Linked DNA regions of Danio rerio. The protein of the gene in region 2 interacts with the protein of the main gene of each other region in a pairwise test. Links are inferred from orthologs where the notes say so. Each region holds a gene or a part of one and is shown on either strand. Other genes may lie near its edges.

Region 1 (4,618 bases), on a different chromosome or scaffold from region 2:
TTACATATTTCGCCATGTAAATAGCAAATGCACCATGGCGTGACGCAACTGACTCTTGAAGGGAATGGGAGATGAGACTCTGATTGGTTTAATGCACATTATGCTCAAAACACACCGATAACTCATTAAGAGAATAAGCACAACACTGTTAGACCATGCGCCAAGGTGCAGAGCGAATTTTTCTATCCATTAAATATCCTTTAAAAGTGCATTCAGACACGCGCTTAATGCTTTTGCACCATGCGCTTTAGATTTTGTGCCTAGATCATTAAAATGGAGCTCTTAAAGTCCATGTGACCTGGAATTTGTTAAGACTTTTATTTATGTATGTTGATGTACTTCCAACTGAAACTGGATATTAAGTAGGGGGTGAAGTTTTTTTATTGCTCATCATCCCCTTGTAGAAAAGGGGTGTGATTAAAAAAATATCAAACTGACATCAACAGAGAACCGCCACTCCTAATGTGGAAGCAACATGTCAGATTTTGAATGAAGATTAACAAAACTAAACTAAACTAAACTAAACTAAAAATCTGTGAATTAACTTGCAAAATGATTGACTACAGTAATTTTGCAATTATTAGAGTACTAGTAGACTTTCTGCTAGCACTTTATTTTGATACTCCTTCAAAACATTAAATACAAGTAACTTTGCAAGTACAGTACAGGGCAAGTAAAGTTATAGTTTACTATAATTATTGATATTTGTGATTAACATTCAATTTCATCTCATTAGGCCACTTTTTTGTCAAGACTTTCCCTTAAATTTTATCATGCTTTACATTATTTTTAAGACCATCTTTGTGATATTATGTTATGGAATGAACAAACACATTAACATAGTTTACTACTTGTTAAGTATGAAGCTTAAGACATTTTATTTTAAAAAAAAGGTCATGCTATTGTTGAAAATTGCATCTTAAAACCAGAAGTAAATGGGGCGCTAGTTGACTAGAAGATACAAAGTCAACAGAATTTATAAATGGTCTAGTTCTGTTCAGAATCTATTTAGCTGCAAAGTCACATGTACAGTATTTTATTGATGCTGCTTTGCATCTGAAGACTGATTATAATGCTGGAACTGTGTCGCTTGATTTCCCTCTCAGGCATCTTCTGACTGCAGCCTGCAAGGCGTTCCAGCATGTGAAAGTGGATACTCTGTGTCAGCCTGAGGCGGTGTCCACTGTCGCTGTGCCCGGTGTGTTCTTCTGTCTGCTATAGAGGCTGCTGTGGGCATTAGAGCCAAACCAGTCTTTGATGCTGCTTGTTTTGCATGTATTGTGTAGTCTAGAGGAGGGATGTCCTTACATTTCACAGCTATTATGAATTCCTACTTGCCCTGCAGGATTACTCTCATTTTCAGCATGTCTGTCCTCTGACAGTCTCTGCATTTGGAGCTTCTGTATTGCAAACACTCTTGCGCTCATTCCAGCTCTATTACAAAATAGAAATACTGAAAGAAAAAAAAACACTCAAGAGCCTGCATACATTTGAAGTCAGAATTATTAGCCCCACTTTGATTTTTTTCTTTTTCTTTTTTAGATATTTCCCAAATGATGTTTGACAGAGCAAGGAAGTGTTCACAGCATGTCTGATAATATTTTTTCTTCTGGAGAAAGTCTTATTTGTTTTATTTCGGCTAGAATAAAAGTAGTTTTTTTTTTAAGGTCAAAATTATTAGCCCCTTTAAGCAAACATTTTTTGATAGTCTACAAAACAAACCATCATTATACAATAACTTGCCTAATTACCCGAACCTGACTAGTTTACCTAATTAACCTAGTTAAGCCTTTAAATGTCACTTCAAGCTGTATAGAAGTGTCTTGAAAAATATCTAGCCAAATAGTATTTACTATCATGGTGGCAAAGATAAAATAAATCAGTTATTAGAAATTAGTTATTAAAACTATCATGTTTAGAAATGTTGAAAAAAAAATTGTCTCTCCGTTAAACAGAAATTGGGGAAAAAATAAACAGGGAGGCTAATAATTCTGACTTCAACTGTAGTTGTAAAAAGGACATATAAACTTAAATAGGCACACAAATGGTGCTGAGCAGTAATTTGTAATTAAATTGTAGCATATTTGATATTTTATTCTGTCATTTAGACAATGGCAGATAAAAAAATTGTAAGTTACTAATTTTTCCTAATTCTAGATGTCACTTTTTCATTTAAAAATACAAAATATGTTACAATTTGTATGCATTTGGACAGTTATGTACACAATGGCAAACTATTTAGTTGTTTATTGATTTTTACTAATTGTAGATATCTCTTTTTAATTAAAAATACAATAAAATTGGCCTTTTTTATACAGTGAGAAAGTTATGTACACAGTGGCAGGCTATTTTGTCGTTTACGGATTTAATTTTTTTTTCTAGGTGTTACGATGTTACGCTTTGAATAAAAAAAATAGAATAGAAATGCCATAATTTCAGCATTTTAAAAACAAGTTTAGTATAATAGATTACAATAAATATTTTTATACAAGTGCATATGCATTTACATTAAATATGCTTATATTCGTTATTTAAAGTAATAATGTGGAAGTTGTGTAGTTTAGAACTACTGTTATTAAAAACTAAAATTGATATGATCTATAGACCCTTTTCACAAGACTGTTATGATGTGTTTAACAATCATCATAATCTTAAATCCTTGAATCCTTTTAAATATTTAGATTAAAAAAACGTTTATACATTAATATGCATTTATGAATATTTTATATAATCTTTGTGTCAAATTACAAAAAACTCAGTCTCACGCAATTTTTTCTTTTTTTGAAAGTCTTGATAACACCATTGTTGAGTTTTTCTTTTATTATTTCAGCTAATAGGACTATAAAAAATATTATTTGTACTCTCACTGCGCTCTACGTTTACCTAACCATGATGCCTTATGGAAATGTGAAAAGGGTCCATTATTAAAACTTATTAAAATTATTTGTTTACATACTGTTATATATAATTAACACTATAATTATTTATAATGAATTTATTATAAATAGTTGACCTTAAAGTATGTGTGTGTATAAATCTATGTCTGTGTGTCTATGTGCAAGTGGCTGCCTGTGCTGAGTGTGCTTTTAGTAAGTGCATTGATTCTCTTTCAAATGTTTCATTACACGTTCCAGGGCTAACCAAATCTATCTGTATGTCTCTCTGAATGTGAAGCGATCAGAGCAGCCTACAGTTTACAGTGCTTTGCATAACCGCAAAACTATAAGCTTGTCTAGAATGTGTTTACAGAAATTTGTCAACCGCTATACAAAGAATTTTACTGTCTTTCATTACTTTAATAATGACACTGACTCTCTGTCTCTCTCTCTCTCTCTCTCTCTCTCTCTCTCTCTCTCGCTCACTCTTTTACTCTTTCTAGCCGCCTGGTGCAGCCTGAACAGGGACTGAGAAGTGTGCCAGTCTGCGGGTGGGACGTCCCGCTTATTGCCTGAAACCCCTCTCTTCTCTCTATCTTTCTGTCACAGTCTCTGCTTTCTTACCTCCTCTTTCTCTCTGCTCCCCCACTCCGTCTCCTCTTTTGTAATTACTTGTTTACACAGTATCCATTTAATATTGAGCCAAAAGTAGTGTCTCCAGACACAGTTCCCTCTTCACATCCACTGCAACACACAGAAACCCACATCAAAACTCCCACCGCATTCGGGAAGCTCACTTTTGCACCTAAAACATCACCTTACATGAACAGTCTCTACTAACCAAAAGAGGCCGATTAATATTTCATCCCAATTCAAGCACGCATCCGCTGCTTTGCAGACAGTTCCCTGCGGTACAACTTCTGAGAAGACAAAAACTGTGCAGCAAAGTATTTCTAAAGCTGTCCATGGACACTAGCATTTCTGTAAAGGCTGTTTAATACTAGGTATAGGTTGGTCTATTAAGTACTTTGGACTGTATCTTCATGAATTGTTTGTGTAACGCACTGAGCCATGTAGAAGGACTGGTGCTTCTGTCAAAACCGTGAGCATGACCAATACTGCCAGTCAAGGGGCCTACATTTACAACACATCCAAATCAACATCCGCTCCAAAAAGCACAATGTTCCTGAACGAGGAATGAAATGCTTGTATAAATGAGATTCGCTGACGAAGAGAACATCATTTTATGTTGATCACTCTTGAGAGGGAATATATAGATGTGGGACGAGTGCTTAAATTAAAAGAGTGGCATTGACTTAAAGGGATAGTTCATCCAAAAATGTATTTTACACTATTTACTCGTCCTGAGTAGTAGATATTTTGAAGAAAGATACCGTAGATATATACACTAGAAATTGCATATGGACCCTGTGCATGCGTCAATAGTGCCGCCAAATTTGTACAGTGCTCTCAGGACAAAAGTCATTCAACCGCACTAGTCAAGACCAAAGCCAATCTGATGATGCTGGACTTTTGTGCTGCAAACAGGTTTAGTAACGAGCAAAGAAAGAAAACAAAGCATAAAGGCAGAACATTTCATAGATAAGATGTTGTTTTGTATGTTACGAACTTTTGGGCTAAACAAGTCACGTTATTGATGATTATACAGTCACTTACTGCACAGACCATAAGCGCAAAGTAGCACCAACTCACACTAAATTCTAGGCGTATAATGAATAAAA
Region 2 (3,826 bases):
ATTTAAAGATAACATTGTTTGTTATAACTGCTGGCAAACAAATACATCACAACCAGTCTTCATCTTTGTCATGATACCATTACCAAGACAAAATAACTTGTCATAAACATGATTGTCATGAGGCATTATAATTGTCATGAATGTTTTTCTGAAGATGTTTTCAGTGAAAAAATTGTATTTGTCATTAAAATGTCTCATTAAACAAGTTTAACAGTGTCATTAATTTTTAATGACATTTTAAAGACAAACTCAGCTTGTATCACTGTAGTTGAGATAAAAAAATATATAATTAACGACGCTACAATAAATTTATGACAATAATAACGGCTTCATGACAATCATGTTTACGACAGGTTTATGACAAGTTTTGTTGTCTTGGTAATATCAAGTTGTCATGACAAAAACAGATTGTGATGTATTTGTTTATGTATTTGTTTAAAACACCATAACTGAGTGAATGACACTTAATGACAGTTGTTTATATATATATTATGTTGATTATAAAGGTTTAATGACAGTCTTATAAACACTTTTTCAATTAAAGTGTTACCAATTAAACAATTAAATACAGTTCAACTGAGCCTTCTCATTGTGTCCCAGTGTTTGCTTCTATTTGAAACCAAGATGAAAATATTAAGTGTTTTCCAGGGAATCACAGAAGTAAATAGTGGGAGCACTATGACTTGTTTAACAGAGAAAACATTGTGTGAAGGGTCACATGTTTCATACAGTATAATGACATGAAATGCACTCTTGCTTAAAACTATAAAATAACAATGACTCGGTTGCTTCACATAATAACAAAATACTTTTGAGCACCAGTAATAGCATCCTCGATCTTCTGCTTGGCCAGCAGCTCTTTGTCCCGCTGCAGCAGCAGCTCTATATGCATGAGCAGAGCAGAGCCCAGTTCAGGAGACGACTCAAAATGCTGACACACTCGCTTCAGGAAGTCAAAGGCCAAAGCCTCCCTGAAACAACAACATGTCAGTGCCTCTGTAATGTCTCTTTCAACTACAGATCTCAGGATGTTTTTGTGCCTGTTTAGAAACATGAAAGGTCATACCTGTTCTCTTCTACAAGCAGCTTTACTGTGCTCAAACACACTTCCAGTGGAACCTCACAGTCCAGCAGCTCTGACAGTCCTGACAGGACAGGGAAAGCAACATGTTTAGGACAACATTTGTGGAGTAATTTTTTTTTTTTTTTGTGAAATAACATGGCTCACCGGATTTTACTGCTTCATCTGGGCTACAGCCTTTCACTAGGATACGGATCTTCAAGTAAAGACCTGACAACTGCATGTGCTCCTGAAAAAAATAACAAACATGATGTAATAAAACAAAGCTGTGCTACAGTTTAATCTGATCATCTACTTTAATAAAAAATAGCTGAACTAGGGATACTTTACCTTATTTGCCAAGCTCACAGCCTGAAGAGCTTTTTCTAGATACTTCTGGTGGTCCCACTCCAAATAAACTGTTGCAAGAAGCCTCAAGACTTTGGCCTGGAAGAATAAGAAATTAGACAACGCATTCATTTAATACAAAAACAGTCGGAGACCACAATAAATATCTGAGATTCAAAATCTAATTTAAGCATGGAAATAAACAGACAGGTGTAAAAAAATGAATGTGAACTCTAAACTATTCTGCCCAGAATTATACTAATAAACAATTCAAATCAGAAAAGTCCAATTCCACCAAGTCTATTAATTTCAGTCACATCTAATGTTTCTTACTTGCATCTCTGATCCTGGTGAATACTTCATGTTCATCTTGCCTATATCATAACTTTGGCTGCAATGCAGATTAAGAATGTGTTAACCAGAAGAAAAAAAAACTTTCAACACATGGGAAATGTCCTTATAGTGCAAATAGCTATCATAACAACACTAATGTTGTGGCAATATTGCACAAAAGTTTTGGGTCAGTTTTGGGTCTTTCTTTGGAAGACCTTTTAATATTTTTATAAAAAATTAGTAATTAAATTGAAGATGTGACCGCAAGGACAATTAAAGAGTTATAAAATACTTCTGTTTAAATGAATGCTGTTCATTTGAACTTTCTATTTAAATAATCCTCATGAAAACGGATATCACAGCGTCCACAAAAACATTAAGAAATTTTTCGTGAACACCAAATCAGATTATTTTTACCAAGTTAACACTTAGCTGATGATTAATTTATGAAGCAAGTTTGGCATGCTGCCCCAGGAGAAAGCCCTGAGGTCAATGTCCTTGAGCCTTGGGCTTTCTCCCATTAGAGCGAGAGGGGAGTTTAAGCTCAGGTTAGTCTCAAGAACTTCCCCTTATTTAGAGCTGATGACAGATTAAAATTGTTATATAGAGAGAGATATACAGCTGGTTAAGAGCTCTACTAAAGTGCTAATTTAGATTAATCAATTCACTAATGATGCATGTTTTTTGGACTGTGGGAGAAAACCAGAGAGTTTATTATTTAGTATATTTATTATATTATTACAGAGATCCTTACCTAAGCCAAAATGTGCTCTCTTCATGCTTTCCCTGACTGTAAGTGTCAACCCCAAAGTTGTAACAGATGAGGGAGAGATAGCCAGTCTAAACAGGATTTCACAGAGGCAGCATTATTTCCATTTATACTATAAATTTTCGCTCTCTTAAATCAGAATTTAAAAATTGCACCACTTTGTCCACCTCTTTAGGGAGGCGTAGAAGGATTTCTTTACATCGCTGTATGCATGACACTGCCACTTGGTGTTGCTCTTGAGATACTGCCTATAAAAGCAAAAATAAACTTGCATATAAAAAAATACACACATTTGCACATGCTAAGCAATCTCTACTAACAGATTCTGCCTGATAAGACAAAATCCGCAACAGGTCTTTCTCTATGTCGCCCTTTGGTGTGTTCATATCTTCTCCATCTCCATGGGATGTTAGTCTGCTGTAAAGAGTCTCCAGGCTCTGTAAAAGTAGCATATTTGTGGTTTCTTATTCATGTATTACGTCAATATTATTGTGTCTTATTTATTTCGATGCAAGAAAAAAATATTTACAAAGACTGCAGAACTGTAGAAAATTTTAATAGCATCCTGCAGCCCTAGTTCACATATTATCAAAATCGTTTCTGAAAATAAAAAAGGAGTTACTTAGAATTTATTTTTTTTCATTTATGGATGTAAAATTTATCCAGAAAAAGCATTAAATAAATAATAAATTTACAACGAGACGGGCTGGGTTCAGAGAGTAACCAAGTTTTAAATAGTATTGGAAAAGTCAACCCAAAACACCCTACAGTAAGTACACTACCAAAATGTGAAAAATAATTATGGGTACTTATCAATATTCCACCACACAATAGCATTATATATTTATTTATTATATGCAATTTTTTCTTGTTCCGCCAATATTGTCTGTTTTTTTCAATGAATTCATACATACATTGACAGCCATGCTCAAAAAAGCATCCGCAGACTTGGAGTTTTTACAATCGAGCCATGTTCTCCCAGTTTTACTGGCCATCTGAGAAACAAACAAGTAAGATTTCAGTCAAATATGCAAGGAGCATGCACAAGGGATGGAAATAAACAAATGTACTGTGCATATGCATGAACCACTTTATTACTGACTTCTGTGTGAATGTCAAATTAGTACAAGCTAATAAACAAGACTGCTGGAAATAATTTTTCACTAACCAGTATTTGCTTGCGCACGATACTCTCTGATGGGTTCTCAGGCCCGCATGAATACAGAAGTCTGCATGCCACATGACGCACTAAAACAAATTTGTAGAGTATTAAATAATTAAATAATTGACATCTATGTAAACATCTGGGATACACT

What was found.
Region 1: the proteins of tex11 (region 2) and necab2 interact in binary tests that used the Homo sapiens proteins (3 or more experiments, as listed by UniProt). The two-hybrid records come from large-scale screens. The link is inferred for Danio rerio from reciprocal best matches to the Homo sapiens genes TEX11 and NECAB2.

What each region holds. Positions count from the first base shown.
Region 1 is NC_133193.1:23,003,999-23,008,616, forward strand, and holds the end of necab2 (N-terminal EF-hand calcium-binding protein 2), read left to right. Parts: intron 1-1,106; coding exon 1,107-1,198; intron 1,199-3,379; coding exon 3,380-3,408; 3' UTR 3,409-4,083; downstream 4,084-4,618. UniProt on the Homo sapiens protein: May act as a signaling scaffold protein that senses intracellular calcium.
Region 2 is NC_133189.1:37,599,827-37,603,652, reverse strand, and holds part of tex11 (testis-expressed protein 11), read right to left. Parts: intron 3,759-3,826; coding exon 3,679-3,758; intron 3,506-3,678; coding exon 3,425-3,505; intron 2,948-3,424; coding exon 2,831-2,947; intron 2,759-2,830; coding exon 2,678-2,758; intron 2,582-2,677; coding exon 2,496-2,581; intron 1,800-2,495; coding exon 1,742-1,799; intron 1,508-1,741; coding exon 1,412-1,507; intron 1,311-1,411; coding exon 1,229-1,310; intron 1,146-1,228; coding exon 1,067-1,145; intron 972-1,066; coding exon 820-971; intron 1-819. UniProt on the Homo sapiens protein: Regulator of crossing-over during meiosis. Involved in initiation and/or maintenance of chromosome synapsis and formation of crossovers.